4 linked regions of the Arabidopsis thaliana genome follow. The protein of the gene in region 4 purifies or fractionates together with the protein of the main gene of each other region. This does not show direct contact. Each region holds a gene or a part of one and is shown on either strand. Other genes may lie near its edges.

The links.
Region 1: the proteins of AT2G23070 (region 4) and AT3G05060 fractionate together in Arabidopsis thaliana (co-fractionation; one large-scale study listed by BioGRID). This does not show direct contact.
Region 2: the proteins of AT2G23070 (region 4) and AT5G27120 fractionate together in Arabidopsis thaliana (co-fractionation; one large-scale study listed by BioGRID). This does not show direct contact.
Region 3: the proteins of AT2G23070 (region 4) and AT1G12380 fractionate together in Arabidopsis thaliana (co-fractionation; one large-scale study listed by BioGRID). This does not show direct contact.

Annotation. Positions count from the first base shown.
Region 1 is NC_003074.8:1,411,037-1,418,529, reverse strand, and holds AT3G05060 (NOP56-like pre RNA processing ribonucleoprotein), read left to right. Parts: upstream 1-2,473; 5' UTR 2,474-2,646; intron 2,647-2,941; 5' UTR 2,942-2,965; coding exon 2,966-3,046; intron 3,047-3,134; coding exon 3,135-3,176; intron 3,177-3,269; coding exon 3,270-3,449; intron 3,450-3,529; coding exon 3,530-3,694; intron 3,695-3,900; coding exon 3,901-4,101; intron 4,102-4,194; coding exon 4,195-4,692; intron 4,693-4,798; coding exon 4,799-4,933; intron 4,934-5,056; coding exon 5,057-5,356; 3' UTR 5,357-5,663; downstream 5,664-7,493. Other genes in the region: AT3G05080 (uncharacterized protein), read right to left, coding at 385-492; AT3G05070 (Cwf18 pre-mRNA splicing factor), read right to left, coding at 997-1,055, 1,262-1,376, 1,493-1,625, 1,923-2,050; AT3G05050 (Protein kinase superfamily protein), read left to right, coding at 7,336-7,493. UniProt on the Arabidopsis thaliana protein: Required for 60S ribosomal subunit biogenesis.
Region 2 is NC_003076.8:9,537,812-9,545,334, reverse strand, and holds AT5G27120 (NOP56-like pre RNA processing ribonucleoprotein), read right to left. Parts: upstream 4,475-7,523; 5' UTR 4,356-4,474; intron 4,061-4,355; 5' UTR 4,049-4,060; coding exon 3,971-4,048; intron 3,871-3,970; coding exon 3,829-3,870; intron 3,740-3,828; coding exon 3,560-3,739; intron 3,484-3,559; coding exon 3,319-3,483; intron 3,125-3,318; coding exon 2,924-3,124; intron 2,837-2,923; coding exon 2,339-2,836; intron 2,239-2,338; coding exon 2,104-2,238; intron 1,954-2,103; coding exon 1,651-1,953; 3' UTR 1,270-1,650; downstream 1-1,269. Other genes in the region: AT5G27110 (Tetratricopeptide repeat (TPR)-like superfamily protein), read left to right, coding at 4,688-6,763; GLR2.1 (glutamate receptor 2.1), read left to right, coding at 7,024-7,285, 7,446-7,523. UniProt on the Arabidopsis thaliana protein: Required for 60S ribosomal subunit biogenesis.
Region 3 is NC_003070.9:4,212,363-4,220,054, forward strand, and holds AT1G12380 (uncharacterized protein), read right to left. Parts: upstream 5,051-7,692; 5' UTR 4,519-5,050; coding exon 2,137-4,518; 3' UTR 1,896-2,136; downstream 1-1,895.
Region 4 is NC_003071.7:9,822,428-9,830,135, forward strand, and holds AT2G23070 (Protein kinase superfamily protein), read right to left. Parts: upstream 4,472-7,708; 5' UTR 4,445-4,471; coding exon 4,065-4,444; intron 3,731-4,064; coding exon 3,601-3,730; intron 3,482-3,600; coding exon 3,287-3,481; intron 3,080-3,286; coding exon 2,922-3,079; intron 2,719-2,921; coding exon 2,628-2,718; intron 2,490-2,627; coding exon 2,424-2,489; intron 2,318-2,423; coding exon 2,235-2,317; intron 2,138-2,234; coding exon 2,074-2,137; intron 1,958-2,073; coding exon 1,889-1,957; intron 1,798-1,888; coding exon 1,735-1,797; 3' UTR 1,215-1,734; downstream 1-1,214. Other genes in the region: CKA3 (Protein kinase superfamily protein), read left to right, coding at 4,801-4,886, 5,132-5,261, 5,343-5,537, 5,626-5,783, 5,937-6,027, 6,160-6,225, 6,315-6,397, 6,516-6,579 and 2 more; AT2G23090 (Uncharacterized protein family SERF), read right to left, coding at 7,230-7,349, 7,624-7,664. UniProt on the Arabidopsis thaliana protein: Casein kinases are operationally defined by their preferential utilization of acidic proteins such as caseins as substrates. The alpha chain contains the catalytic site. Involved in the regulation of various developmental processes.

The sequences.
Region 1 (7,493 bases), on a different chromosome or scaffold from region 4:
TGCATTATGTTGGTGTGTTGTCAAGATAAAATTTATTGAGCGGCTCCATCTACTTGACAGTTTTTACTTGGGAAGGTGATTTCATATTAGGTATTTTCATCAGAAAGAAAAATAGAGATACTTGAGTTGGTAGATTTTTCATGTGAGCTTTTTCACAACTCCTGATACCAAAGCCTTTGTAGATTGCTCTTTTTGGTTTGAAACAAATGATAGGAACAATAATGTTATGTTGATCGAAGCCTTGAAATTGAATATCACCATATTCATTTATTGCTCTACAGATTGGGATCTGTCTGCTGGTGCATTTAATCACATGGAAGTCTATAGCTTTTCATTGCTTGTTCCTTCGAAAAGCATATATCTTGGTTTACCTTGGCCTAGTGTTTACTTAGCTTCTCTTCTTTGGAGCTTGGATTCATGAGAAGTGGGCACCAATAAAGGTCCAAGATATTTAGGTGAGATGGTGTCGAAAGCTTTACTGAATTTGTACATTAGGTTTGAGCTTTGGAAAACAAAAAAACTTAGTATCTATTTTTGATTGTTCGGTATTAATAAACAAATATTGTATCTAAACTCCATCATCCCACTGTGGAAGCAACATGCCGAGAAGAAAGGTCTTAGAAGCTCTCTGTGTTGTTTTCCCAGACTCCAAACTAAACCCGTCTAGCCCGAATCAAAACTTTGGTTTCTAGTTTGGGATGTCTTTATCAAACCACAGTAAATCGAATCAAACCAAAAAACGCAGTTCCATTAATGATCAAACTAGATTACCACCGATGTTGAACCAAATTTAGAGAAAAACCGGACCGCACTTAATTCTACTCGGAAATAAATTGCGACTTTCTTTGATTCACACAAGAAGATAAACCTACTATGTCTATGCCAATGGCTGTAGGATTTTACATGGTCTACTCACTTCGAATGCTTTAACAGTTAAACAAAATCGAGTAGAATATACTGTTCAGTGGTGGCTTTCTTTGATGACGTCGTTGGGTTTCAACTTTCTATGGTGTTACCATCAGCTTCAGCCATCTCACGTTCTTTCTCTTGCTCCTCTGCAATTAGATGATGAAAGTGCATGTGTTAGTTCCATAATAAACAAACACCAACAGATCACTCTATTTTGGACTTCTATGATTTGGTATCATACTACCAACAGATTCAGTGAAATGTTACTCACTTACTCACGAACCACAGACTAATGTCTTAATTATCAAGCTTACATAGAAGATATCAGTATGTAGATACAGTTGCCACTTACCCATGAGTTTATGCATTGCCTTTTGAGTCCGCCTTTCGAGCTTATCAAGCTTCTTCTGCACATCTCTTCGGAGGTCCCAGTTTGGCTTCTTTGGAGCGATGTTAACAAATGGGTCCTACAATGATAACATTTTTTGTAAGCTTAAGAGGCACAAGTAAAGGAAACAACAATGCTAAACAGAGTCGCTTTTGGTGATCCTTGTACAGAGAAAAGAAAAACTGTCACACACACCTCTTTCTTCTCTACAGCAGGTGGAAGTGCAACGATCGGATCTTCGAATTTGGGTAGCTCTGGTGGCGCTAGTTTACCATCCTGAAGCTCCTTAGCTTGGGGAACATAGTTTCTAAACTTCATGGCTGGACCACTGTAAAATCAAAGACAATTCATATGAATAAAAAGGGAATCTACCTCGAATAATCAATCAACAAAACCAACCACCTAAGCAAAGTATACACAACAATGCAACTTGAAATTGGAAAAAATTGTTAGGTAACAGATGCTGCAAGAGCACCATTATTGATTCTCTCACAAACAGTGATAGTAAAGGCGAGAAGCAAAGCACAAGAGAAGCTCCTAGTTATGCTAAAGCCAACACACAACATTAACAACTCCATGTGCTAGTCAAGACAAACAAAATAAGCAAAGAACAAAGCAAACTCACTCTTCTTCGACAGCTTCATCCTCTCCGTCTTCCTTGGTCTCAGACAGTTCCTGAGCTGCCCTTAGAGCTTTAAGTGCCTCTTTACGAGCAGCAGCTTTTTGTTCAATCGATTCATCTTCACTAGCCATTATAACTTCCTGCAAAATTAGGTTATCGACGTAAACATCGAACACTAGCCCAGCTTCTTCAAACACTAATCACACAACTACAGAGTATAACCCTAAACAACACGCAAAATCGTGATTTTCAGGATCCACGGAACTAATCAGATGAAGTTTTAGCAAAATCAGAGCTATACTATGAAATAAAGTTGAAGAGAAGTATGGAAAACGCTATCTACCCAGAAAATCAACGAGAAAATTTGAAACCGTACCTTGAAGCTTCGAGCTCTATAAATTCGAGACAAATTTGTTGAATACCACAGAGAAACAAAGGGATTAAAAAAGAAAAACTATTAAGGGGGAAGAGAACAATAAAACGCCCACGTATTAATATTATAAACGGGCCAGATTAAAATATCCATTCAGTCAGGCCCATTAATCTTAAAACCTAAACCCTAACTATGGAAGTTATAGAAATACCCCTTACAATACGCGGCGTTTTAAGAAGGCTCGGCTCGTCTTTAACTGCTATAACAACACACTCTTAAAACCCTAAGTGATTGTCCGTCTCCGTCTTCATCTTCTTCCTCTCTCTCACGCAGCTGCTTTGATTAACTCTTCAGGTATTTAATATCTCTCATCTTCTCTCTTCACGGTGTTTCACTTTTCCATTCTTGCTGGAGATTGTGGAGTTTCGAATACTCATACTCGGACAGAGTTTTAAGGCTATTGTAGTTTATCTCTCTGTTTTTTCTTCTCCTGTATTTCTTATGTGATCTAAAAGTAGGATTAGGGTTTATATGGAATGCTGTTTCTCGCTAGTTTTTAATCTCAAAACGAACTTTTAGTTTAATTAGTGTGACTCGGACACGTATCTTTACTGTTCTGAGTTAAGTGTTGTCTTAATTTTCTCTTCAGGTCCAGCTTAAGAGTTTTGTGAAGATGGTCTTAGTGCTATACGAGACAGCGGCGGGGTTTGCCCTCTTTAAAGTTAAAGATGAAGGAAAGATGGCTAACGTCGAGGTGAGTTCTCTTCATTCTTTTGTACTCTCTTTGCTTATCCTTAAGGCTCTAAAAGTATTCATGGATTATTTTTTATTTTTTTTTGCAGGATTTGTGTAAAGAGTTCGACACTCCAGACTCAGCACGAAAGGTAATTTTTTTGCTTCTTCATCAAGTGTGGTTTCAGAACATCTAAAATTAGATTTAGTGTTGAGTTTCTCATATGTTTTTATTGGTGTACCAGATGGTTAAGCTAAAAGCTTTTGAGAAGTTTGACAATACATCTGAAGCTCTCGAAGCTGTGGCTAAATTGCTGGAGGGAGCTCCAAGCAAAGGTCTGCGCAAGTTTTTGAAAGCTAATTGTCAAGGTGAAACCTTGGCTGTGGCTGATTCAAAGCTTGGGAATGTTATCAAGGAGAAACTGGTTTGTAATTCCCATCATTACACCCATATTCCTGTCTGCTCTGTGTTTTGTTTCTAATGAAAGTTCTTAATTTCATACAGAAAATTGATTGCATTCACAACAATGCTGTTATGGAGCTTCTACGTGGTGTTAGAAGTCAGTTTACTGAACTCATATCTGGGTTGGGTGATCAAGACTTGGCTCCTATGAGCTTGGGTCTGTCTCACAGTCTCGCCAGATATAAGCTAAAGTTTAGTTCTGACAAGGTATCTTCGGTTCCTGACTAATTGTATTGGTCTTTTTATTTGGTGATATGATATGTGAAGTATATGAATTTGTTAATTGATCGAAGCTAACTTGTGTTAAATTATGGAACTTCTGTATTGAACTAGCCTTTGATTGTCCGACATTAAACGTTTCCTGTGTTTGTTTTTGCTTCTCTTGCATCTCCTAACTGTTTAGTTTTTGTCAGGTGGATACCATGATTATCCAAGCTATTGGTCTGCTTGATGATCTTGACAAAGAGCTGAACACATACGCCATGAGGGTTAGAGAATGGTATGGATGGCATTTTCCCGAGCTTGCTAAGATCATATCAGACAATATCCTATATGCCAAATCTGTTAAATTGATGGGAAACCGAGTTAATGCTGCTAAGCTAGACTTCTCCGAGGTAACTTTCAATTTTGTAAACTGTGTAGAGGCTTCCATGAACAAACGCCTTGATTAACGACCTAATATTCTCCTGTTTCTGGTTTCATTGTAGATCTTAGCAGATGAAATTGAGGCAGATCTTAAGGACGCAGCTGTGATATCCATGGGAACAGAAGTCAGTGACTTAGACTTGTTGCACATCCGTGAACTCTGTGACCAGGTTCTCTCTCTTTCTGAGTACAGAGCTCAGCTTTACGATTACCTAAAGAGCAGAATGAACACTATTGCTCCCAATCTGACTGCCCTGGTAGGAGAGCTTGTTGGTGCTCGTCTTATTTCCCATGGAGGTAGTTTATTGAACCTCTCCAAGCAACCTGGGAGCACGGTTCAGATACTCGGAGCCGAAAAAGCTCTCTTTAGAGCTCTTAAGACAAAACACGCCACACCCAAGTACGGTTTGATTTTTCACGCATCTCTGGTTGGTCAAGCAGCACCAAAGCACAAGGGAAAGATCTCGCGGTCTTTAGCTGCTAAAACTGTTCTTGCTATTAGGGTTGATGCTCTTGGTGATAGCCAAGATAACACTATGGGCCTTGAAAACCGAGCTAAGGTAACAAAATTCTTCAATAGCTTTCCTCTTGTTGGTATCTCTCTGAACAATCTTTTTTCCTCCTTCTTAACTGATGATGTTTCTGATATGTGTTAAAAACTCACAGCTTGAAGCGCGGTTGAGAAATCTTGAAGGAAAAGATTTAGGTCGTCTGTCTGGTTCATCTAAAGGCAAACCTAAGATTGAAGTCTATAACAAGGATAAAAAGATGGGATCAGGCGGTCTTATCACTCCTGCTAAGGTCACGATCATTCTCTCTGTTTTTGATTCATCATCTTTTCTTCTAATTTTGGATGTGTGTACATATTGTCTTTGTTCTTGGGATTATGATGAAGTGATCTTGACTGTTTTTTGTTATGTGCAGACTTACAACACTGCTGCAGATTCTCTTCTTGGGGAAACCTCAGCTAAATCTGAGGAGCCATCAAAGAAGAAAGATAAGAAAAAGAAGAAGAAGGTAGAAGAAGAGAAACCCGAAGAGGAAGAGCCATCAGAGAAAAAGAAGAAGAAGAAAGCTGAAGCAGAAACTGAAGCCGTAGTAGAGGTTGCAAAGGAGGAGAAGAAGAAGAATAAGAAGAAGAGAAAGCATGAGGAAGAAGAAACAACGGAGACACCAGCCAAGAAGAAGGATAAGAAAGAGAAGAAAAAGAAGAGTAAGGACTGAGGGAGAGAAACCGATTTTGAGAAATCTCTTGAGTGTAAGATTAATAACTGTTTTTGTTGAATTGCATTTTATCTAGAGGAATAGGTGTTTTAAGATGAAACTTAAATTTTCTGAAATCGTCATTTTGAATGATGGATTCATATTTAAATCCTTTTCACCCGAACTTTATTTTTGTTCTAGCCTTCCAGACTCTAGATTATTAATTTTGGAACTCTTTTTTCAATTTATAGTTTGTAGTTGTACAATATTCTTCTTGCATGATTTATATATATCTGGAAGAGGAAAGAATTGAAGAAAAATAATATATTCTGAAAAAATCAAATAGTTTTTTGCTACTAAACGTGTCTGTAGATTCACCAAATAAAATACTCTTTGATTTTGTTTTGATTTTAAAGATTTTTTACAGGCGTTAGTATCTTTTTCATGATCGTATTTCTCTTTGTTGACTATGCATGTTTATCTTTGGTTATTGTCTGGCAAGATTTTAATCAAATTAATGAGGTCAATAAAATTAGTATATCGTCTACAAGAATACATAGTAGTTAGCAATAATGCTGGGAATGAATGAATAAATAGATAATATATGTAGCTTTAAGTCATAAAAGAAATAAAATGGCTAATTCTAAAGGACAGACGTAAATCATTAGTTCCTTAAGCTTTTGTTCCTTGTTTGGTTTACAATAGAGTCTTGATAAAGGAGCTTCTTTGATTGGATAGATGAAGTAAACTCTCATTACATACCATATTTCTTATTTTATTTGTTTTTCCAATTCCTATTTTAATATTAAAAAAAACTCTTAGTGTTTATTTTAATAATAAATTCCAAAATTAGGTGGGTACATACCAAATATTCTTTACATATGCTAAGTAATATATTGTTTTTGACCAACAAAATTATAGATCAGTTTTAATATTCTAATGTCATTGAGAAAACCACTTCTTTAACACCATTGGACCTCTTACACATTAAAATCTCCCCCAAACTTTATAGACTTATAGTACTCCACAAATTTTTAAAATTGAAAATTGTGATAGAGAAAAGAGAGAAGAAATGAGTACAAAATGGTGCTCAGAGGTTTTTAAGTTGGTGGGGGCTGAAGAAGAGTAGTAACTTTGAGCCTTTTTGACCGTATTGGTGTTGCGTCCAAAAACAATTACTTACACATAATAATAATAATAACAAAGAGCCAACAGATCTTCGTCTGTTTCTATTTATTCCTTTTTCTTGTCTGATTCGCAGAAAACTAAAGAGAGTTCTTTTTCAAGTAAAATTCGAAGAGCAGTTCAACGAATCCTTCTTCTCCTTGAGACATTTTTACCCAAGTTGGTCTCTTTCTTCCTTCTTAAACAATAGTAGAGTTATTATTGGTCTACGACTCTGTTGTATATGTGTATGTATCACCTTGCCTTTTCTCCAAAGCCCTAATTGATTTTTCTTTCTTCTTTTTTTGTGTATGCTTTAAAGGTTTCATTTTTAAAATCTTCTTGGACTCCATTTCTTTTCCTTTTCCTTTATCTTTTTGCCTCTCTTTGTGGAGTTTTTGAAATCATCCCTCATTTCATTCCTATTTTCGTTGTCTCTTTGAGTTTGAGTCAGCTTTGTGTTGTGTCTAAATTCTAAACAAGTTTCAGATCTTTACCTTCCTTTGACTTGTCTCCTGTCTTAAAACTAGGGTTTAATTTTCTTTCTCTGTTCAAGTCTCAGATTTGACCAGCTTGGTCCAGAATTTCGCTTCTCCTCGATCATAAAGTAAGTAAATTTCACCAACCCTTTTCTCTAAGTCTCCTGTTTTAGTCAAATCTGATCTTCGATGTGTTTCTAGTTGGAATCAATTTTCTTGTTTGTTTTCTGATTTTTTCTGTTTCAATTTTTCATGTATGTGTGTGTGTTGCAGTCAAAGTTGATTCAAAGAGGTTTGATTGAGTCAGAGATCTCTCTTTTAGAAACATGTTGAGCAAATGAAGGTTTGTTTGATGAGATGGGTTGTGTATTGGGTCGACCCGGATCATCAGGATCAGTTTCTGGGTCTAGAGACGAAGTTAGTACTAGGATTGAGTCTAATCGACATCAAGTTAACAATGTGTCTGTGACCAAAACCGAAACAACAGAGAGCACTAGTGCTGTTGTTGTTGCTTC
Region 2 (7,523 bases), on a different chromosome or scaffold from region 4:
AGAGCAACCGTATAAGCCATTCTCAAGAAGATAAAAACAGGTTTAAATTCTTCTTCTTCTTTCCTTTCTCATAATCTTAGATCCTCCATTCTTTCATCTAAATACGTCTACCAGAGAAACGAAAGAATGACGTAAATAATGAAAGTTGAGACTTTTGTGATACCTAATGTGATGGACGCTGTTAACCCCTCACGACTCACTGAGTTTGGTCCACCCAATCGCTGGTATGAATATCAATAAACCTTTGGCCGTTTTGTTGCGTTTTACTTGGTCTTATCTTCTTACATTTTCCATGCACACCCGCTGCTACAAAATGACCACATGAGTTTGCGAGAATCATATAGAAACAAAATGGATGCAAATGTTTTGGGGCTTTCAATTCAGAAAAAGAAGAAGAAGAAGAAGAAGATAACCAAATTGAGAGATGGGTGGCATGACATGACATCTTCTTCCACGGTGTAGTGTGCAAAATAATTTAAATGTGAAACCATCTTATATGTTCAAGTTTAGAAAAGCGTTTTGGTTAGAAGGTAATTCATTTCTCCATCATTATTATTGTTAAGTTTTTTGAGAAGAAAAAACGGCTCTGTATATATATATATATTTTTTTCTATATATCTATGAGATAAGTTAGTGTATTTATGTAAGATTATTTGCTGTTTCCAATAAAAGTTTTCTTAATTTTAACACATATATTATTTTACAATTTGAGTAAAGTTGAATAGGACTTTTATTGAGAGTTATAGAGCAATGTGTGATACACATTGTATTTTGTGAGGTTGTGATATTCGTCATTTGTGTAATTGTTGCAAATTTCAAAGACACGAAATATATTATTGGTATTGTTGTTTTGCGTGCAAGGCACGGGCTGCCTACTAGTTTACTTACAAATAAAAAGACTTTATAAATTAAAATCCAGTTCGATAGGTGTCTAGGCAGATTTTTTGAACATTACCTACAATGATTACATAAAACACTATAGATTAAACTTTTTCCACGGCAACTAAATTTAATTAAAAATAAAAAAAACTTTATGAATTAAAATCCAGTTAAATATTTTAAAACATATATGTTCAGTAGTAAATTTTGATATTGACGGAACCATTATCACGAAATATTCAGAAAGAATTTTGATTCATATTCATCACAAAATTTATAGCACAATAAAAATATATACACACACAAAGTAGGTAGACTCTAGATTTTATTTATCTTTTGAAATTTCTAAGGTCTGGTATGATTTGCCTTATGCTCAACCCAATCCATTTCCAATTGACTATTAAGGTACTTTTTAGACTCACAAATATTCATTTTGTACAAGGTTTTTTAAAATGTCAATGATACACTTGATGAAAAATGTCGACTCTTCGGACTGATCTTTACAAATTTATGAACTAATCAACTATGAGTAATTACGTTATACTAAGATTAGAAGGATTTAACGGTAAGGTCTTGACTCGTTTGGCAAAATGCAAGTTTCTGGGATAAGGACTAAACCAAACATATTATAACCTTACAAAACGAAGAGTAGTTCTTTTTTTTAAGTTTCAAACAAAACAAAAACCTTACTTAACACCTAACGCCACAAAAGATTTTCTTTGTTTCTGATAACAAAGTAAACTAGACCACGCAAAAATATTAAAGGTCTCTTCAGACCTCAGTTTTCTTCTTCTTCTTCTTCTCACTCTTTTCCTTCTTCTTAGCAGGCATTTCAGTTTCCTCTTCCTCGTGTTTTCTCTTCTTCTTCTTCTCCTTCTTTGCAGGCTCTTCGGCGGTTTCAGGTTCTGCTTCTGTCTTCTTCTTATTCGATTTCTTCTTTGAGGGCTCCTCAGTTTTGGCTTCTTCCTCATCATCAGCCTTCTTCTTCTTCTTTTTGTCTTTCTTCTCTTTCACACCGTTCTCTGAATCCACTGTGGGAGTTTGAAGAAGAGAGTCTGCAGCAGTGTTGTATGTCTGCAGAATACAACAACAACAACAACAACAAACAGCTTAATCCTTTAAGCAACATTACAGGTAATATATCCAAAACACAATTGCACAAATCCAGAATTCATAATTACAAAAGAAAGTTGAAGAAACAAACTAGCAGAGGAATAATCTGACCTTAGCAGGAGTGATCAGACCTCCGGATCCTTTCTTTTTATCTTTGTCATATACTTCAATCTTTGGTTTGCCTTTAGCTGAGCCAGATAGACGTCCTAAATCTTTTCCTTCGAGAGTTCTCAACCGTGCTTCAAGCTGTCAGAAGAAAATAGCCCGCATGGTAAACATCAATCAAGGTAGAGTATTTTTAGATCAGATCGAGAGGAAGATCGGAAAAAAAAAAATTGAAGGATACCTTTAAACGGTTTTCAACTCCCATAGTGTTGTCTTGGGAGTCACCAAGAGCATCACAACGGATAGCAAGAACAGATTTTGCAGCTAGTGACCGTGAAATTTTACCCTTGTTCTTCGGTGCAGCTTGGCCAACAACAGATGCATGGAAAATTAAACCATACTTTGGAGTAGCGTGTTTGGTCTTAAGGGCTCTAAATAAGGCTTTTTCAGCTCCAAGAATCTGAACCGTGCTTCCAGGTTGCTTTGCGAGGTTCAACAAACTACCACCGTGAGATATTAAGCGAGCACCGACTAGCTCCCCGACAAGGGCAGTTAGATTTGGTGCAATTGTGTTCATTCTGCTCTTCAAGTAGTCATAAAGCTGAGCTCTGTACTCGGCAAGAGAAAGAACCTGGTCACAGAGTTCTCGGATGTGCAATAAATCAAGGTCACTGACTTCAGTTCCCATAGATATCACAGCAGCCTCTTTCAGTTCTGCTTCAATTTCATCAGCCAATATCTGAGAGGAGGACACAGAAACAATGTTTCAAAAAAAAAAAAACTAGTGTTAAGCACAAGGAAGTCAAATACTCAAACAGGCCTTTACCTCAGAGAAGTCTAGCTTTGCAGCATTAATCCGATTCCCCATTAGTTTAACAGCCTTGGCATATAAGATATTGTCCTGTACGATCTTAGCAAGCTCAGGAAAATGCCAACCAAACCATTCACGAACCCTCATAGCGTAAGTGTTAAGCTCTTTGTCAAGATCATCAAGCAGACCAATAGCTTGGATTATCATGGTATCCACCTAACATACAAGTACAAGGTGAAGTAACATAAGGGTCAAACAAACACAGGATATATAGACAAACTCAATTGCAATTCAGACCTAATGTTGGAAGAGTAAAAAAAGGGATACCAAAAGTTCCATAATTTATCAAAAGTTGGCTAACTCAACAAATAATTCAGAGAACCAAAAACCAATACAAATCAAATGACTACCTTGTCGGAACTGAACTTTAGTTTATATCTGGCAAGGCTGTGAGACAACCCCAAGCTCATTGGACCTAGATCTTGATCACCCAATCCAGATATAAGTTCAGTTAGCTGGCTTCTGATACCTCTTAACAGCTCCATAACAGCATTGTTGTGAACACAGACTATTTTCTACACGAGTGAAGCAAAACCGTAAGAAACAACCCTTACTCAGAAATAAAAGAGCGTATCGGAACAAAATACACACCAGTTTCTCCTTGATGATATTTCCAAGCTTAGAATCAGCAACAGCTAATGTTTCACCAACACAGTTAGCTTTCAAAAACTTGCGTAGACCCTTGCTTGGAGTTCCCTCAAGCAATTTAGCCACTGCTTCAAGAGCTTCAGCTGTGTTGTCAAACTTGTCAAAAGCTACTAGCTTCACCATCTGTAACAACACACCAAAAATTGCTATGAGAAACAAATATTATTAGCCAGATACAAAATTTGAACTATGTCTAGAACAAAATAAATCACCTTTCGGGCTAACTTTGCGGTCGAGAACTCATTACCCAAATCCTACAATCACAAATTTGACATACTTAGAATTAAAAAACCAAACCACACACAGAAACAAGGTTAAGATAAATGAACAAAGGAGAATGATTTAGTTAGTAACCTCAACATTAGAGAGCTTTCCTTCGTTTAATACTTTGAAGATGGCAAAACCACCTGGCGTCTCAAACAGTATTAGCATTTTTACAAGCTCCTGAAAAGAAGAAAAAACAAGATTAAGAGAAACCCTTGAATCAACTCAAAGTCACCAAACTTGCAAGTTAGTGTTTTACGAGCTAAAGCCATTAAGCTAGTACGAAACAATATTCAAGGTAAAACTTTTTCCCTGTTTCGAAGTTTACAAATCAGAATAATAGTTAAGGCAGATACTCTGTTCAAATTCTTGAAAATCCGACAAAGAACAGAACTATACTTTGTCAAAGTCTTAGAATTTTGGAAGCTTATTTGCCATAACAACGAAGAAAGAGAGGGCGAGAGAGATTCAGTACCTTAGAGGGTTAACGCACAACTACAGCTTTAGAGAGAGCTAAAATCAGGAGCCGCGATTCTGCTAGGGTTTAAGATGGTTTTTATAGTTGTTGAAGAAGGTTCAGAGATTCTCAAAACGCTGCGTTTTTATTGCTAACGGCGCGTTTTTGTAACCTAGGGTTTTAAAACGCATCGCTAATTTAGAAAAATAAATCATTTTGGGCCTAATTAAGTTTGGCCCATTAGTATAAACGACGTCGTAGTTTGAATCATGTCTTTCCTTTATAATTTAGCTAAAGCAGCGACTGATCACATTTCAATCTCTCACGACAAAAAAAAATGTGAACTTGAAATGGAATCTTCAAAGTTGTTGTCTTTATTGCGAGAGTGTACCAATAGCACCAAGTCTCTAAGAAGAATCAAGCTTGTGCATCAGAGAATACTCACGTTGGGGTTACGAAGAGACGTAGTTTTATGCAAAAGTCTCATCAATGTCTACTTTACTTGTAAAGACCATTGCTCAGCGAGACACGTCTTCGAGAACTTCGATATACGATCGGATGTTTACATATGGAACTCTTTAATGTCTGGTTATTCAAAGAACTCAATGTTTCATGACACTCTTGAGGTTTTCAAGAGGTTGTTGAATTGCTCAATTTGTGTCCCTGATTCGTTTACTTTTCCGAATGTGATTAAGGCTTATGGTGCGTTGGGTAGAGAGTTTCTTGGTAGGATGATTCATACTCTTGTGGTGAAGAGTGGGTATGTTTGTGATGTGGTTGTGGCGAGTTCTTTGGTTGGTATGTATGCAAAGTTTAACTTGTTTGAGAATTCACTACAAGTGTTCGATGAAATGCCTGAGAGAGATGTAGCATCTTGGAACACGGTTATTTCGTGTTTTTATCAAAGTGGAGAGGCAGAGAAGGCTTTGGAGTTGTTTGGAAGAATGGAAAGTTCTGGCTTTGAACCAAATTCAGTTTCGTTGACGGTGGCTATATCGGCGTGTTCAAGGCTGTTGTGGTTGGAGAGAGGGAAGGAGATACATAGAAAATGTGTGAAGAAAGGGTTTGAGTTAGATGAGTATGTAAACTCTGCCCTTGTTGATATGTATGGGAAATGTGACTGCTTGGAGGTGGCTAGGGAGGTTTTTCAGAAAATGCCTAGAAAGAGTTTGGTTGCTTGGAATTCTATGATCAAAGGTTATGTCGCTAAAGGAGACAGTAAGTCATGTGTTGAGATTTTGAATAGAATGATCATAGAAGGAACTCGACCGAGTCAGACAACCTTGACCAGCATTTTGATGGCTTGCTCTCGCTCACGGAATCTCCTACATGGAAAATTTATACACGGTTATGTGATTAGAAGCGTTGTAAATGCAGATATCTATGTGAACTGTTCCTTGATTGATCTATACTTCAAGTGTGGTGAAGCAAATTTGGCTGAAACCGTCTTTTCAAAGACACAGAAGGACGTTGCTGAGTCATGGAATGTCATGATTTCTAGTTATATCAGTGTAGGTAATTGGTTTAAGGCTGTTGAAGTGTATGACCAAATGGTGAGTGTTGGAGTGAAGCCAGACGTGGTAACTTTCACAAGTGTTTTACCTGCTTGTTCGCAACTGGCTGCGTTAGAGAAAGGCAAACAGATTCATTTGTCCATTAGTGAGAGCAGGCTCGAAACAGACGAGTTGCTTTTGAGTGCGCTTCTTGACATGTATTCTAAATGCGGCAATGAAAAAGAGGCTTTTAGGATTTTCAACAGTATACCAAAGAAGGATGTTGTATCATGGACGGTAATGATCTCTGCGTATGGATCTCATGGTCAACCCAGAGAAGCACTTTACCAGTTTGATGAAATGCAGAAGTTTGGTCTAAAACCTGATGGGGTTACTCTTCTTGCTGTATTGTCAGCTTGTGGTCATGCTGGGCTAATTGATGAGGGTCTCAAATTTTTCAGTCAAATGAGATCAAAGTACGGAATCGAGCCTATTATTGAACATTACTCGTGCATGATTGACATTCTTGGCCGAGCAGGTCGGTTGCTTGAAGCTTATGAAATTATTCAACAAACACCAGAGACAAGTGACAATGCAGAGCTTCTCAGTACTCTCTTCTCTGCTTGTTGCTTGCACCTGGAACATTCATTGGGAGATAGAATCGCAAGATTGCTTGTTGAGAATTATCCAGATGATGCATCAACCTACATGGTCTTGTTCAATTTGTATGCTTCTGGTGAGTCATGGGATGCAGCAAGACGAGTCAGATTAAAAATGAAAGAAATGGGATTGAGGAAGAAACCGGGCTGCAGTTGGATTGAGATGAGTGACAAAGTGTGCCATTTCTTTGCTGAGGACAGGTCTCATTTACGAGCTGAGAACGTTTATGAGTGTCTTGCTCTTTTGAGTGGTCACATGGAATCCGGTCAATGATTCTTATGTTATTGTTAATTATGCATGAGACGAAGTCTCCTCCTTTGCAACGGTTGACTTTAATTGTTGGTTAAATTAGAATATGTAAAAAAAAACAAGTTGCTGCCTTAAATATTATATACTTTGGAATAAATTCAACAAGTTCGTAATTAACAATATCACGACTTCTCCAATTACCAAAGGGTCTCATGCCACACCAAAGAGCATACATATAGACCACCAAGTTTCATTCTTTTTCGGCTAAGTAGAAGAAGAATAAAATGAAGAGAGAAAACAACCTCGTTCTCAGCTTACTCTTCTTTGTAATCGTCTTCCTGATGCAGGTCGGAGAAGCACAAAATAGGATAACCAATGTAAATGTGGGAATCGTGAATGATATCGGAACGGCTTACTCCAACATGACTTTGCTCTGTATCAACATGTCTCTTTCTGATTTCTACTCTTCTCATCCAGAAACCCAAACAAGGCTTGTAACCACCGTTGTTGACTCCAAAAATGATGTTGTTACCGCAGCAGCAGCAGGTACACGCATACCCATTTCTCTAAATTTGCATGCACTGAGATACGTGTGTGTCATCAATCATCAGTTCATATGCACACTTCTTATCTACATTTATGCTTTCTCCTCCAAAGGTTTTTTTTTTGCATAACAAAACACTCCTTGGCGTTGACTTTGTCACAGCTCTTGATCTGATAACGAACAAGGAAGTGAAAGCGATTCTAGGGCCATGGACTTCGATGCAGGCTCAATTCATGATTG
Region 3 (7,692 bases), on a different chromosome or scaffold from region 4:
ATGCACTATAGTATTTGTTTCTTGAAAATTACTATATATCTGTCAAAGCTGAAAAAAATATGTATGTATAACAAATATCGTACTGTCGAGATTTTTTTTTTTTTGGTTAAAAGGAGAGAAACATAAACTTTAGTTTTCTTGAAACAACATTAAAGTTTGTTTACTGACTATTGTGTAGTAGAAAAAAAAATATGTTGTTATCTTTCAAATCATTTAGATTATTCTTCATTTTCTTTTCTCCTTTTAGCTTTTTTAAACCTTTTAACGCAAAAAGAAAATCAAATACACATTCATATAATTCGAGAGAGATTTGGTGAGAAGTCAGCATTGCCGACAGGAAATTCTGCCTCACCACCAAAATGGTGAAAATACCAAACCAATAATTACAACAACTTTATTTAGGTTGTAATTATATGAGTACATAATTACACTACCCTCTTATTTCCACGAAATATGAACTCATATTATTTAATATATTGACAAAAAAAAACTTGTGTTTCTGTGTCTTTTAATTTTCATTGAAATGATGATGTACATGCAGTAGTAATAAAAGTGAAAGCCGATGTATTCTAAGATTTTCTTATAACTATTACCTAATTTAAGTTTTGATTTTTTAAAGATCAACTATTCGAGGAGGTGGGCGAAGTGAATATAATGCATGCTAGAAAGTTCAAAGTTTTACAATGAGAAAAAAAAAAGTGTATATAAAAGAAAAAAGTAGTATACTTTGCTATTTGTGGGGTATAAAATTTAATTATTGATTTCTACTTTTAGGGTTCCCCTCTTGTTCAGCATAGTTACAAATTACCACTCCAATGAAAATGATTCCTTCTTAAATAATTTAAGTGAAAACCTATATTTCCTTCAATCAGTAACCTATATATAGATTCGACTTTATTATTTAACAATACATAAGTATGAAACTTACTTATTAAATATAACAGTGTTTTAGAATGTCGTACATATTTGTTTGTGTGTATGTGTGTGTATGAGCATGTGTGTAAAAAAGAAGAAGAGGTACTTGACTTATCTATTTGTCTGTAACTTAAATGGAAAAATAGCATCTAAATAATTGTATTTCTCTTTACTATTTCGAAATAATTGTTTGTTTTCTCTTTGCTTTCACTGTTCTTACTTAATTTGTGTAATTTCACTTTAGCTGTCCGGTCAGTCCATTTATGAAATCTTGCCACTAGATTTCAAAATTTGTGGTACTATTGATAAAGTTATGATTTACAAGAATATAAATCATGGGTTACAGTTTTTTAAATACCCCACAAAGTACAATACCATGGGCTCATAAATAAAGAAGAAATCTTTTAACCTTTCCAACTATTCATAGCCGTAAAAAAATCATGGGTAAATCACACATCTTGCTACAAAAAGATTAACAAGGTTTCATTTATAAACATCAAAAAGGGTTCTTCACATTTACAATCTCACAATTTCACCTTTTACAGCTTTAAAATGAACTTGTATACAATAGCCAAGAAAAACTTGCTTTCATGGTGGGGATCCACATTTTTGTTCTTCTAAAAGACTTAATAGATTGATATAGATAGATAATCTCATAATCATAATCATGGTTAAAATTAAATTGAAACCCGTTAATCAGGTTTTGCTCTTCAATAACTCAAGATATCAAAAGTATATGCATCTTTAGTCTGTCATTGCCAACAACAAACGTTATCATGAAGAAAGAACATTAAACTTTCAAAAGTTAAGTCATTTTCTCTCGAAAAGTAAAGATATGTTTTCAAGTCATGATTAAGAATATGAATTTCCGATGAAAAAAGCGAGTGGGATCATTACACTATTGTACCAAGAGACGAAGAAGCAAAAGCTGTCATTAATTAGAGTTTCTAACTTCTAACCGATACATCGATGATAAGGACAAGAAACTGAAATAGACACATATGTTATATCGAAAAATTATGATGGTATATTATATAGACTAAAGAAATACAAATACTCTCAATCACCTTCTAAAGAAACCAAGTACAAATTGAATATTAATGATAGTATGAATGAGATACTAGTAAATCAAAGAAATGAATTTAAACAATCCTAAAGAAATGCCAAATTCTAATGAAAAACTAAGGTGAAATCAAATTGATCAAAAAAGAGATTCAAATGTCACACTGAGGACGTATCGACAAGAACATCGTTTAGCATATGGTCGTCACCATTAGCCATAGCGAGAAGCTCTGCATCCCTATCCTCCTCGTTTGAGAAATCTCTCCTTTCGAATTTCGAGTTAGCGGATATGAAGATCAGCTTTTGAGCTCGATCAACGGCTGCATGTGACCGCCCGTTCGAGTTTACCCATTTCAAAAGAGAGGAGTTGCATTTGAACCCTCCAGTCGTAGCGTGGAGGAAAATGAGCCTTACTGCAACTTTTCCTAGTGACCTGAACTCGCTAAGATACGTCTCCCAAACAAGTCTACTGCTTTGAGGATTCGCTATCCTCATCTTTCCGGAAACCGGATCACGCTCTTTCATTTGGACCGCCCTTGCATACATAGGATCAAGCCCTTCGGTTCTCCATTTCATTAGTTCCATCAACGCAATGTGTGCCTCATCTCTAGACACAAGCCTTGTTATCAACTTATCTACATCTTTCTCTTGCTCTGGCGACAAACATTTGAACGGAGGAAGATACTTTCCGCTACTATCTCTTATCAAGTAAAGAGGGTCAAGTATAAAAGCCGCAGCCCAAGCCGGATGATAACTCTTCTTGAATCTTCTCTCAACGACTTTCTCCACATGTCCTTCCCCTACATTAAACTTAGAATCCCAATCTTTAACCTTAGCTCTTAGCTCATCCCATAGAGGTAAGCATTGCCCTACAAGCAGCTTCTCTTCCTCTATTCTCCGAGCCATCTCTTTAACAAGCTTGATCAAAGCATGAACCGCTTCTACCTCGTTCCAAAACCCTTCGTCACCAACCATCTCTCTAACCTCCCTAGCCATATGATCCTCCATTAAAACAACCTTGCAAGCATCATCATGTACTACCAACTGAATTGCTCTAGCGGAACTCAACACATCTTCAAGAAGATTAAACAACGGCTCGTAGAAACAAACCTTGTTACTACCACTACTACTACTACTACAACTTCTACGTTCATCGTCGTAATAGCAATGTAAAGGCAACCTAAGCATTATCGATTCGCCATGTTCCTGCAACTGATACTTACAGTGAGCGTTACGTATCTGCGCGGTGTTATTGATGAACTTAGCTAGTCTCACACAGTTTTGTGAAACGGATTTGAATAAAGGAAGCTCTTTTACGAAATCTTTGATCAAACTGTTGAGTCCCTGAAACTGACAAGAAAGATTCACCATCCATTGATGTTGACTCTCCAGATTCCTCAGTGCTTTGGTCTTAAACTTATCAGAGACTATCCCAACACATCTCTGAGGTGAATTTCCACAAATACCCTTCACCGTCTCCAACAAGACCTCCTCTGCGTAGTTAGACGGCACAGCTCCGTTCACAAGTACCGCTCTTCTGTACAAACTCGTCCCGTTTGGTAAATTCACAATCAAATTCACAAGACTCTCGCCGGACTCTCCTGGTTTCCAACCGTCCGATGAGATTTGGAAGAACATTGCGTCTCTGATTCTCGATTCAGCCTCTGCTCTGGCTTCCTCGTGCTTCAAGTCCAATCTCGTGGTGGCGAAATCTCTCTTGGAGATGATTGGTAAACCAACTTGTGTTAAAAAAGCTCGAAACTTTGGATGCTCAAGACCCGAGAGAGAAACAGAGCCGCAGGACTCGAAGACCCAATCAGAGAGAGAATCTAAAGCTGACTCTATCTGCGATCTGGTAAGAGACTGAGTCTGCGACGGTTTAGGACTCTTAAGCTTCTTCACACTGTCTTCAAGCATAGCTAAAGGACCCAAGTCATCTTTTCCACCGGAGAGCATCAAATGCTGCGGCGGCGGAGGAGTTGAATAATGCAACTCTCCGCCGCAGAATCTAGAAGGATCAACAACGGTTATCGGCGTGACGTGATAAGAGCCTCCGATGGGAGGAGGGTTAAGCCGAGAAGGAATCGCGGTGGTGACAGCGCCGGAGGAGTTACGTTTCCGGTGATGAGTTTGAGGAGAGGAAGAGGAAGAGGTAGGAGAAGGAGTGATGGTGGAAATGGGAGTAACAGAGTTGAAATTAGGACACGTGCCGCGTTTGAGATGCTCAGAGGCAGTGCGTGAAGGATTAGAGGCGGAGAAAACGGCGTCGCATAAAGAACAACGAAGCTTCACGGCTTTAGGGAGACCAGTGTCGGTGTTGCGTACGAGGATTGGTTCAAGATGAGTCCAATACCACGCGCCTTTACCTTTCACTGCTTTTGTTCTCACCGTCATTAAACCTTCGTATCTCTTGTTTAATGCTTTTGCTGTTAGCTCGTCTGTTGTTAACCCATCCATCGCCGGAGGAGCAGGAGCTGGAGGAGGAGGAGGTGGTGGTGGTGGTGTCTGTTGAGTCGCCGTGTGAGCGTTAGTCGTCGCCATCAAGAAAGAAAAAAAGTTTCTAAATCGGAAATTTCGAGGCTCTTGCTAAAAGGGTTTTAAGCGAGAGTTGGATTTTACGTGTGACATTCTTCAGCAGTAGGATTTCGCCGGAAGACGACGATCTTTAACGTCGCTGCCATTTTCCGGCGATCAGAAGAAATGAAATTTTTACTCACTTCTTTAGTTTTTTTTCTTTCTAGTGAGCTCTTGTTCTTGACTGTGAATGGTTTTTTCGAAGAAAGAGACAGAGCGGAGAAGAAGAGGAGAGAAATATGGAAGAAAGAGAGAGAGTTACAGAGGAGGTTGAAGCACACGCGCATGGAGGTGAAAGAAGAGAGTCCCACGTCGTACGAGAACACAAACGTTACATTGGCTCGTAGTCTATCTCGCTTTCTCATCATTGGAGCGTTTTAGTCACGCGCTTTAAGTTGGTTTTGGGGGATTGTTTTTGTTATGTGTGTTTTTTTTCTTTCAACTTTTGTTTCTTTTTTTCTTTCGAAAATCTCTTTTCTTGTCTCCTACTTTAATATTTAAAAGAAAAAAAAATTGGAACTATTTGGGACCTTAATTTAATGCATTTTATTTAGATTTTTTCTCTTCTTAATCTTTATAAATGTTTTTCTTGTGCTATACAGTTTCAACCACCAATGGTAATGTACTTTCGTAACTTCAGTTGAACGGATAAAAAAACAAAATTGGGATCTTGAGAATTTTGAAGGCTCTAAGTTTTGGTAAAAAAAGAATTATTAACATAGGCTGAGTTTTTAAAAAAATCTAAATGATTAATTCGGTTTATAGAATCCTTATTGTGAATTTAGTTAGAGATTATGTGAACGTTGAAGACACTTTTTGAACATTTTTTTTGGATTTGATTACAAAAATGAAAAAAATGGGTGAGTGGGATTTCCATTTGTGTCCTATTGTCTACGTGGGATGAGTTCAGAATTTGGGCATAAAAGGGTAGAGTGAGAATTTAATTTTTGTTTCTAGATAGACAATGAAAGACATTAACGCAGAGACTGTGTTGTGTTGACCATTTTCTGTTGACTCATAAAGTACATTTCTTTGTAAATATTTTTTTTTGGTTTGTGTTGAAAGTTGTTTATTTTTGACTGCAACCTTTTACAACTTCCATTTTTTTACCGACACTTTTGGTTCCTACTAATTCCAACCATTTTTTTACTTTTTGTTAATCTCAATAGCAATTTTGCTTTCATTTGCTTTGTATGAATGTTCATGAATCATGTGTGTCTTGGCCGTCGTTAGAAGTTTGAAGTCATGATTCATGAATAACAACATCCTTTGTACTCTTCACAACTTCTACCTCTTTTTAGTTAAAAGTAAAAACCCAAAAAAACATGAACACACACTAAATAAAATTATGACTGAGGACCAATATTTACCTAAATAAAATTACTGGCCAATGGACACATTTAGCTAAATACCAACCAATCTGTAGCAGTCCAACAAAGTACACATGCTTTTCACTCATAGCCAAAAACTTAGAATTTTACTTTAGTATGTCGTTGATCTATGAATAATTTAATACAACCTATAAAACCATATCAATGCGAACAAACTCATACTAATGAATATTAAAAACACATTTTCTTGATCAACTATTCCAGCTAATTAACCACAACAAAGACTATTTCTTATGTGTCACACACACACATACACACACACACACATAAGTCTTTCTATATTTTACCCTTGATTTTCTACTCTTATTCCAATGCAAAAAGTGTCTTGAACTTGAACTTGTAAATCTCTCTTAGTAAAACGTATAATTAAAGTTATAAGTGGAGGTTAGTAGGAGTCAAGTTTTAATTGGTCAATATCTAATGTCATAAAATCCATGTCACAACTGTCTCCCACCTTCTAATGTAGAAGTATCATGTATGCATGCTTATATGTATGAATGATCAATGAATTCTAAAGTCTAATATACAAAATCCACCCATAACTGTATCTATATAATAAAAAGGCAGAAAATTAATTTCTTACCACATAATTTAGAGCAGTCCTATCTTAAAAAGATGGATAGTACTATCTATAAGAATGATCTTGTCTGTTACATACCAACCACCCAAAAACCATGGATTATGCCCTCTAATTTTATTTTTTGATAAACGACGTTTGCAATATAGTGATGAGAACTATTAATAACATCACTTTGTCATACGTTTTATTAACTTAAGGTGTCTACAATGTAAACAATGTAACAATATATCAAAGTAACTTCTTACGTTAATCTCCACTTAAATAAAATAATGCTGATTTTGTGAATGAAATTTGAAAATAAAATGTTTAGAATTGATATATACTTTTTTGCATGATACTTTTCATACGTGGAATGAGATTTCAAGATTGGTCCCTAAATGCATATATTAACTAAAAATAAGTAACTGTTGACAGAAAATAGGTATGTTATAAATTTGAATCTTCATTTTCCAGTTAGTGAAAACGAAGAGCCAATCCTTTCAGTTAAAAAAATACTGATATTGATTATTACTGTATCAAACGTAAATTGCTTGATTTACAATCTTGTACGAGAACTTCTTTTCCCAACCACTCCACTATATCGTGTTATACCCGAAATAAATATATATATACCATGTAAGAAATAATAATAGTTGAAATAAAAATAATGCCACCTTTTACATTGATAGCGATAGTAATTATTTGATTATTGAACTTGGATGGATTTAGTTACTAACATAGCTTCTTTATTTTACAACTTAATTGAACCACACTAGAGAGGCCAGAATCTATAATTAGTGAGGAAAATCCGACTAAGCTAAACCATATTACAATTCCAAAATGCTATCCTTCATAATCTCAATCTCTTAATCCTTGCAATTATAAGTTATGGATTCACCGTTCTTGAGAAAAGAAAGAAAGAAAAATACATGGAAAAGATGAAGCTTGTTTTTCTTCGTACTAGAAAACAGCTGGCTTTTCTCAATCACATGATTGAATGGTTTCTGGTACCATTTTTGTTTTTAATTTTTCATTTTTGATTTCCTTAAAACTATACAATAAGACAATGACCTAAAAAAAATTATACACGACTCAACAAAAATTACACGGCTCTCGTGCCCAAACCCAAACTGTTTACTATTTAATTGGGCTAAATCTATAGAGGCCCAATGGCTTATAAATCATAGATTC
Region 4 (7,708 bases):
ATATTGTGTCCCGATATGCATTCCTAAAACCACACAAGTTCATATGTATATATACTAAAAAATTTCCGGAAGGTAGATTATATAAACATTGTAATGTGAACCTGTTGATTCATCAGAAGTAACATCGGTCTAAATATCGGTCGGTTAAATATGAGTCACATATTATTGTACGTGGGTTTGAGTCACATCGATGTTCATAAAAAGATTTTGATTTACTCTTACCAAATTGTAATATGATTCGTTAGGTCTTAAACTCCACAACTTGAACAAAAGTATCTTTACATACTTTCCACTCAAGATAGAACTAAAAACTAAAAAATAGTAGGGAAGTGTGAAGTGTGCACACTGCACACGATTGTACACGAGTACGGTGGTTATATAGAGTTTGATTGATTCAAAAAGATGATTTGTGATTTTACGTACATGTATAATGTATTATCAGTGGATAATTTCAATTCAAATCTAGAAAAATTTTGAAACTGTAGATTTCTTACTCAAGTAAAGTTACAAACATACATGCTAGACGATCATTGTTCTCATTTGCCCTGCATGCTTCCTTTGATCACGTGTTATTAGTTCACCATGAATCTACGACATTATACAGAAATTATTCAAATGATAGAATGACACGTTCAAGATCCGATGATCCCATATCTAAATATGAAAAATGTAACGTTTCAATATAAAAACAGGAATGAAAAACAGAAAAATCTTTTTTATTTTTTTTTGGCCAGAATGAGAAAATCTTTATCACACGAAACTGATTATCTAAAGCATTCCAACAGAATACATCATTCAATAATCTCATTTACTCATACGCGTGAAATCTCACTTTGGATTAAGGTGTCAAAACTCAAAAGATAATCTTAATTCACAAGACTGCACACCGGTTATCAAACGTTTTTAATCGTTTCCAAAGTAAATATTTATTTCTCTTTTGGTGGATGATTTTCTCCAATAATTTGAAAAAAATAACTGATTGATGGATCATGGATGCATATATATACTGAAAATCTTGCACAATTATTAGTTATATATTTCCATATTTGGTTTCATATGTTTTAGACACAGCAATATCTTTGCGTGTGCGTAATTCACAAAATTTTAAGAGATGAGTAATTTTTTTAAGGCATCATTTTCAACAAGAAAGAAAGAGACAGACAGCTATATTGTAAACTAATATAGGATGATTGCATAATCATTTGGACAAAGGGAACCAGAGAGATTAAACTAAACTTAAAAGATATAAGACAGATAGGTCGAGGTTGTTCCACAGACACAGTACTCAAGATCGGATTACGTGCTTAATGTCCCCTAATCACTATTTGGATTAGATTAGAGATTCTTGTGCTTTCTTATGTCTACAGTTATATATCTAACTGACCGACCATCACTCTCTACTCCCGATGCGAGCTTCTTCTACCTTCCACGGAGCTGTCAAAACGGGCTAACTAAAACCGGCAAGCCAAACCAACCTGTCCCGCTCAAGAATATGAAATTTTCCAGAAAATTAAAAATGAGAAGAAAAGAAAGAAAAACCTTTTGAAACCCGTCTTGTGGATATTTTTTTTTATATAATAAAATTCAAATGAGTTGAATGAAACACTGAGAAAGAGCAAAACAGTAACACACGCACACTTGAGAGAATGAAACAATGACAGATCGATTTATAACAAATTTGAATCCGTAAAGAAATGAAAAATCAGAAGATTGAACAAGCAAATGTTTTCGAGATCACTGGCTGCGCGGCGTACGGCTGCTCTCTGCATTTCTAATCGGATAGAAATATGGATGCGCCTGTAAAAATCCATCATATTCTCTACTATCACTTATCTGTAATTATAAGAGAAAATCTTTAGAAAGATATTAAAGAAAAATTGTTGCTTACCATTGCTTCTTTAGCTGTTGGCCTTTCTTGGTGATCATATCTCAGCAACTTGTCCACAAAATCAACAGCCTTCATTAACCAAAAAGTATATGAAAACAAATGAGTCATGTTCGTCCAAAAAATCCGGTGTTTTGGTCTTAACATGAAGGCTTCATAATTGTATAGAGAAAAGTTAAGTGTTGTACCTCAGGAACTGCTAAGTGCTGGTTTTCAGAATTGATGAACTTTGTCCATGGCTTCCGGCTATGTCTATATAAAATCAAGAGTGCATAATTTAATGTTCTGAAATGATAAGGCGCAAAACTGGAGTTTTTAGAGTTTTTCATAACTTTTTAAACCGGATTACCTGCCCACGAGGGATGTTAGATTAGGGTCCAACTCTATACGGTATTTGTTTAGGTAGGCGTTGAGTTCATCTGTGCCAAGCACCTGCCATAGTTATAAATACATAGAATCGTATTTTTAGCTATAACTTGGAGGAATGTAAAATCTGTTCAGAGGAGACGAGACATGATGAAAGCTTTTGTAATGTTACCTTCGCAATTTTGACCAATTGATCATAGTTGTCATGGCCATAAAAGAACGGCTCCTTGCGGAATATCTGCAAACAGTAGAGTATACAATATTCACCACTTAACTAACTTAAGGAATGGTAAAATAACCAAAATGTACTGTCGAATTCTTGTCATTCCATTACAGCTTAAACCAAGTTAACTAAATTCTAGCTTAAAACGCTTACCATTCCAGCAAACATACACCCAAGACTCCATAGGTCTAAGGAATAATCATAGTCCTGTAAATCCACCAGCAGCTCTGGACCCTTAAAGTACCTGCTCATCAAATATGAAGTGAGAAATGATAATAGTATACATCAGCTAGACGAAGTTAGATAATATGTTTCAACTAATCTCAAGAGCTCAATGCATGCAATCTTCAACATTTCTTATCTAGACTCTCTATGAGCAGAAATTTAGCAACTGCAACAAATAGAATCTTGCAGAGGAGAGATTAGCAGATAGCCAAAAGGAACTACCTTGAAGCAACACGGACATTGTATTCTTTCCCAGGATGATAGAATTCTGCCAAACCCCAGTCAATTAAACGAAGTTTTCGCTGCTCGTGATCAATCATGACATTATGTGGTTTCACATCTCTGTGCATGATTCCACGTGAATGGCAGAAATCCAACGCCTGCATAAATGTTAAAAAGAAACAACAAACAGCATCAGAAACAAATTCGTACCCTTTATAACTGAAGGCTAGTGGATTCAAAAGTCAAGTAAGGTAAACAACAGTGTATGACGCTATACATCTATGATATATCTACCGATTACTTTTGCCAATTGCCAAAGCCGCAAAGAAAATCATGGTCTACAATTCAGGAAACTGAATAATTACCTTTAGAAGTTCAAAAATGTAATATCGAACATCATAGTCTGAGAGAGTTGGATAGAGAACTTTGAAATCTTTATTGTTCACATGTTCAAATATCAAGCTGGGCGTCTTAGACTGCTGATCTCTAACAATGTCGAGCAATTTTACAATATTAGGCCCACCGCAGAGGTTCTGCAGAATCTTAATCTCTCTCTTAATCTGCGTCAAGGAGAAGCAAAATATGTTAGAGAATAATTCAAACCAAGTGAAGGGCCAGAAACACACTTCATTCTGAGCACAATTGAGATAAAAACAAGCAAGCGGCTGTATCTACTCACCTTCTTCTTCTTCACAGGCTTCAAAATCTTGATAACACATTTCTCGTTATCAGTAGCATGAATGCCTTCAAAGACCTCACTGTATTTTCCCCTTCCTACCTTCCTCACCACCTCATAATCATCCTGTACACTGCGGCATCAATGAAGCTAACTCAAACACTAATACACCAAACAGTAACAACACCATACAAACTCAAGATATCAATTCAACAATCTAGTTCACATAGACCAGCAATTTTCAAGAGATTATATACAAACAAAACAGATACCAATACAAACAAATCAGATACCAATTCTGCATTACTTACGAGATTATATCATCAATCAAAAATATGAAACGAAACCCTAAATCTACATTCCACATTGATTCCAGAACAACCAATCCCAAACCAATCTATAACCAAAGGCAAACATCTAGAAATCGACGTAATTAGGTTTAATTAGAGAAGAATCTGAAGATATACCCCCATTGAACAGCAAGGGACTCGTAATCCCAATAGTCCTTAGGTCTAACAACGTTGACATCAGCGTAAACCCTAGCTTTCGACGGCGCACCGGCACGCCGGATAGATTTACCGATCTTCTGAGCCAGCGTTTCTGATTTTTCTTTCACGCGCGATTGCTGTTGTTGCTGATGTTGTTGTTGTTGATTCCGGAGATGTTGACGGTAAAGAGAAGCGCTGGATGCGAAACGACGGAGATTGTCCTGGAGCGAAGAGAGAAGAAGATTCCTCTTCGCCGGAGACGACGAAGAGAAGGAGAGGAGAGAGAAGAGATTGTTGTTGGCGGCGGAAGCGTTGCGAAGAGAGGAGATTGTGAATCCAGTACAAGGCCTTAAGGCCATTAATGTCTTTTTTTAACTCTTATTCAGAAAATGAAAAGTGAAGGTAACGAATTTGCTTTATTTCTCTCCTTTCTTTTTCTTTGGCTTCTCTTCGAAACGATGTCGTTTAAACAATTCGGTCCGGTTATAGTGTGATTGAAATCGATCCGATTGGGTTTGTTTCGGTTCGAGTGTGGTTGAATCGGTTCGATTTGGTTTAGGTGGTTTTTGGGTATCAGAGATTCTTCTTCAACCTTTTTCTAATCCTGCACAACGCACTTCTTCTGTTGTCATCATCATCGTCCACTTGAAACAAACCTGACGATCAAAGAGAAGATTGCGATCGCAAATTTCTCCATTTTTTCAGATCGAAATTGATGTCGAAAGCTAGGGTTTATACAGATGTTAACGTTGTTCGTCCTAAAGAGTATTGGGACTACGAGTCTCTCGTTGTTCAATGGGGGTAAAACTTCTAGCTTTAGAATTTTTCTTTGATGAATTTACGATTTTTGACTTCTTTTTGATAAATTTTCGGTGGAATTTGATTGATTTGTTGCCAAATCGAATTCGAAATCAGAGAAATTGGAATTTTTTAGGGTTTGGACTTAGGTCTCTTGAAGACACTTTGTTTTAAGTATCTATTAGCAAATATTGGATTTTGAAATTCAACAGTGTGAGATTCTTAAATACTTTTGTGTGATTCTTCAGTCATCAAGATGATTATGAGGTTGTGAGAAAAGTTGGTAGAGGAAAATACAGTGAAGTTTTCGAAGGCAAAAACGTCAATACGAATGAGCGTTGCGTTATCAAGATCCTCAAACCCGTAAAAAAGAAGAAGGTGATCAGTTAGTAGAACTCATTTCTGATGAATTTGCATACATAAAGATGGCTAATTTTGCTGAAACTTGATGTTATGCAGATAAAGAGAGAGATCAAAATACTTCAGAACCTATGTGGTGGACCAAATATTGTTAAGCTGTATGATATTGTTAGAGATGAGCACTCCAAAACACCTAGCTTGGTATTTGAGTTTGTCAACAGTGTGGACTTTAAAGTATTGTATCCAACATTGACTGATTACGATATCCGGTACTATATTTATGAGCTTCTGAAGGTAATGTATCGGTATTTACCATAAATGACTTTTACCGTACATACAAATGTTTATCGTGGAATCCAGAGCTGATGTTATTGCATTTCAGGCATTGGATTTCTGTCACTCTCAAGGAATAATGCATAGGGATGTTAAGCCTCATAATGTCATGATAGATCATCAGCTGCGTAAACTTCGTCTGATAGATTGGGGCCTTGCTGAGTTTTACCATCCCGGAAAAGAGTATAATGTTCGCGTGGCCTCGAGGTAATATCCGATACCACAGCTTAATTCCACCTGTCTTGGCAAGCCTAAGAGGGTCATTCGTAGATGCCAATGATTGAAACTTTTAGCTGTGCAATCAAAGCTTCTTGTAGTTGTTAAATGCATTAGACTAAAAACCTGTGAATTAATTGCCAGATACTTCAAGGGTCCCGAGCTTTTAGTTGATCTACAGGATTATGACTATTCTTTAGACATGTGGAGTCTTGGTTGCATGTTTGCTGGCATGGTGAGAACTAATAATCCCCTCACTCTTCTCTCTAGCTTCAATGCTGAAGCTATTGCAAGCATTTGAATTTCCGAATGGTAGTCGTTAATACTTTGCTGTTGCTTATTCACTTGTCAAATATTGATGCTGCAGATATTCCGTAAGGAACCGTTCTTTTATGGCCATGATAATCATGATCAACTTGTCAAAATTGCCAAGGTATATTGCTAGTCTATGACTTATTGGCATAAAATTACATTGTAAACTTAAATCCATGTATATGATTTCTGATTGAAACGTGTGCATAGGTGTTGGGAACCAATGAGTTAGATCATTACCTAAACAAATATCAGCTAGATCTTGACCCTCAACTGGAAGCACTTGTTGGAAGGTTTTATTCCATCCCTGAATCTCTCTGTCTTTAAAAGTCAAAATTGTTGCTGTTCTCAACTCTGGCTCAGTTAATTTTATACCAATGAGTTAAAACCTGAAGTCACTCTTATTTGTAGACATGTCCCCAAACCATGGTCCAAGTTTATCAACGCGGACAACCAACATTTGGTCTCACCTGAGGTACTACTCTTTTTCGAAAAACATAGTTTTGCTTCGTTCTGGGTGTATTGACTCATTGTATACATCTTTAGGCAATTGATTTTCTCGATAAGCTTCTTCAGTATGATCATCAAGACAGATTAACCGCAAGAGAAGCCATGGTAAAAATCCTCTTCATGTGCACACATCTTTTGATTTTGTTTTACCCGATGATCTTCATGTGCACACATCTTTTGATTTTGTTTTACCCGATGATCAAGTCAAACTTATAATCTCTGGTTTCTCTATTGATCTATAGGATCATCCATACTTCGCTCAAGTTAAAGCCGCAGAGAGCAGCAGACTACGAACTCAGTAAAACCGAAGCTTGATTGATGATGCTTACTACTATTTTTCAACCAAAAACTTTGTAATGATTTTGTTGTATCAAAATTGTGGTAATCTTTACTTTCATAGAAACATAATCAACAGCGAAAAGAAGCCAACTTATATTAAAAAAAAAGGTTCCACACAAAGCTTCATTATATAATCATAGCAAGAGACTTATTGTTGAAACAAGTAGAGAGAAATAGAAACCATAAAATTTGTCGAGACTTTGATACAAACATAGGAAAGATGAGGATCCATACGTTATACATTGGAATCCTTTATAGTTGAGATAATAGCTTTCATCACTTCTTGAGGTGAGGGAAACAAGCGACAACATCGGCTTTCGGATGCTTCGCCTCCGCGTGCTCCCTGCATTTCACTTCCGATGTCGTGCAGATGAATGTTTGCATACAAACCTTGCACTATATAAACACACACATCAACAAATAACAAGTTAATATAACACAAAGCTTCAGGATCAACAAGAAATAACAAGTTCATTAACACAAAGCTTCAGGATCAACAAGAAATTGTGCATCAACATGAGACAATTAAACTTACGTTTCATGACTACATAAACAATTCCAAAGGACTAATAATAATTGGATTCTTATTAAGAAAAGCTGATTCTAGTAACCAATAATTGTAATATTTCGATGATTTCGAAGACGATGATATAAAGTAATAAGTGATCACCTGAATCGACATAGCTTTCTTGTTAGCTTCCAATTGGCTACCTATAAGAGAGATCAAATACAAAAATCATTAAGAAACACGATTT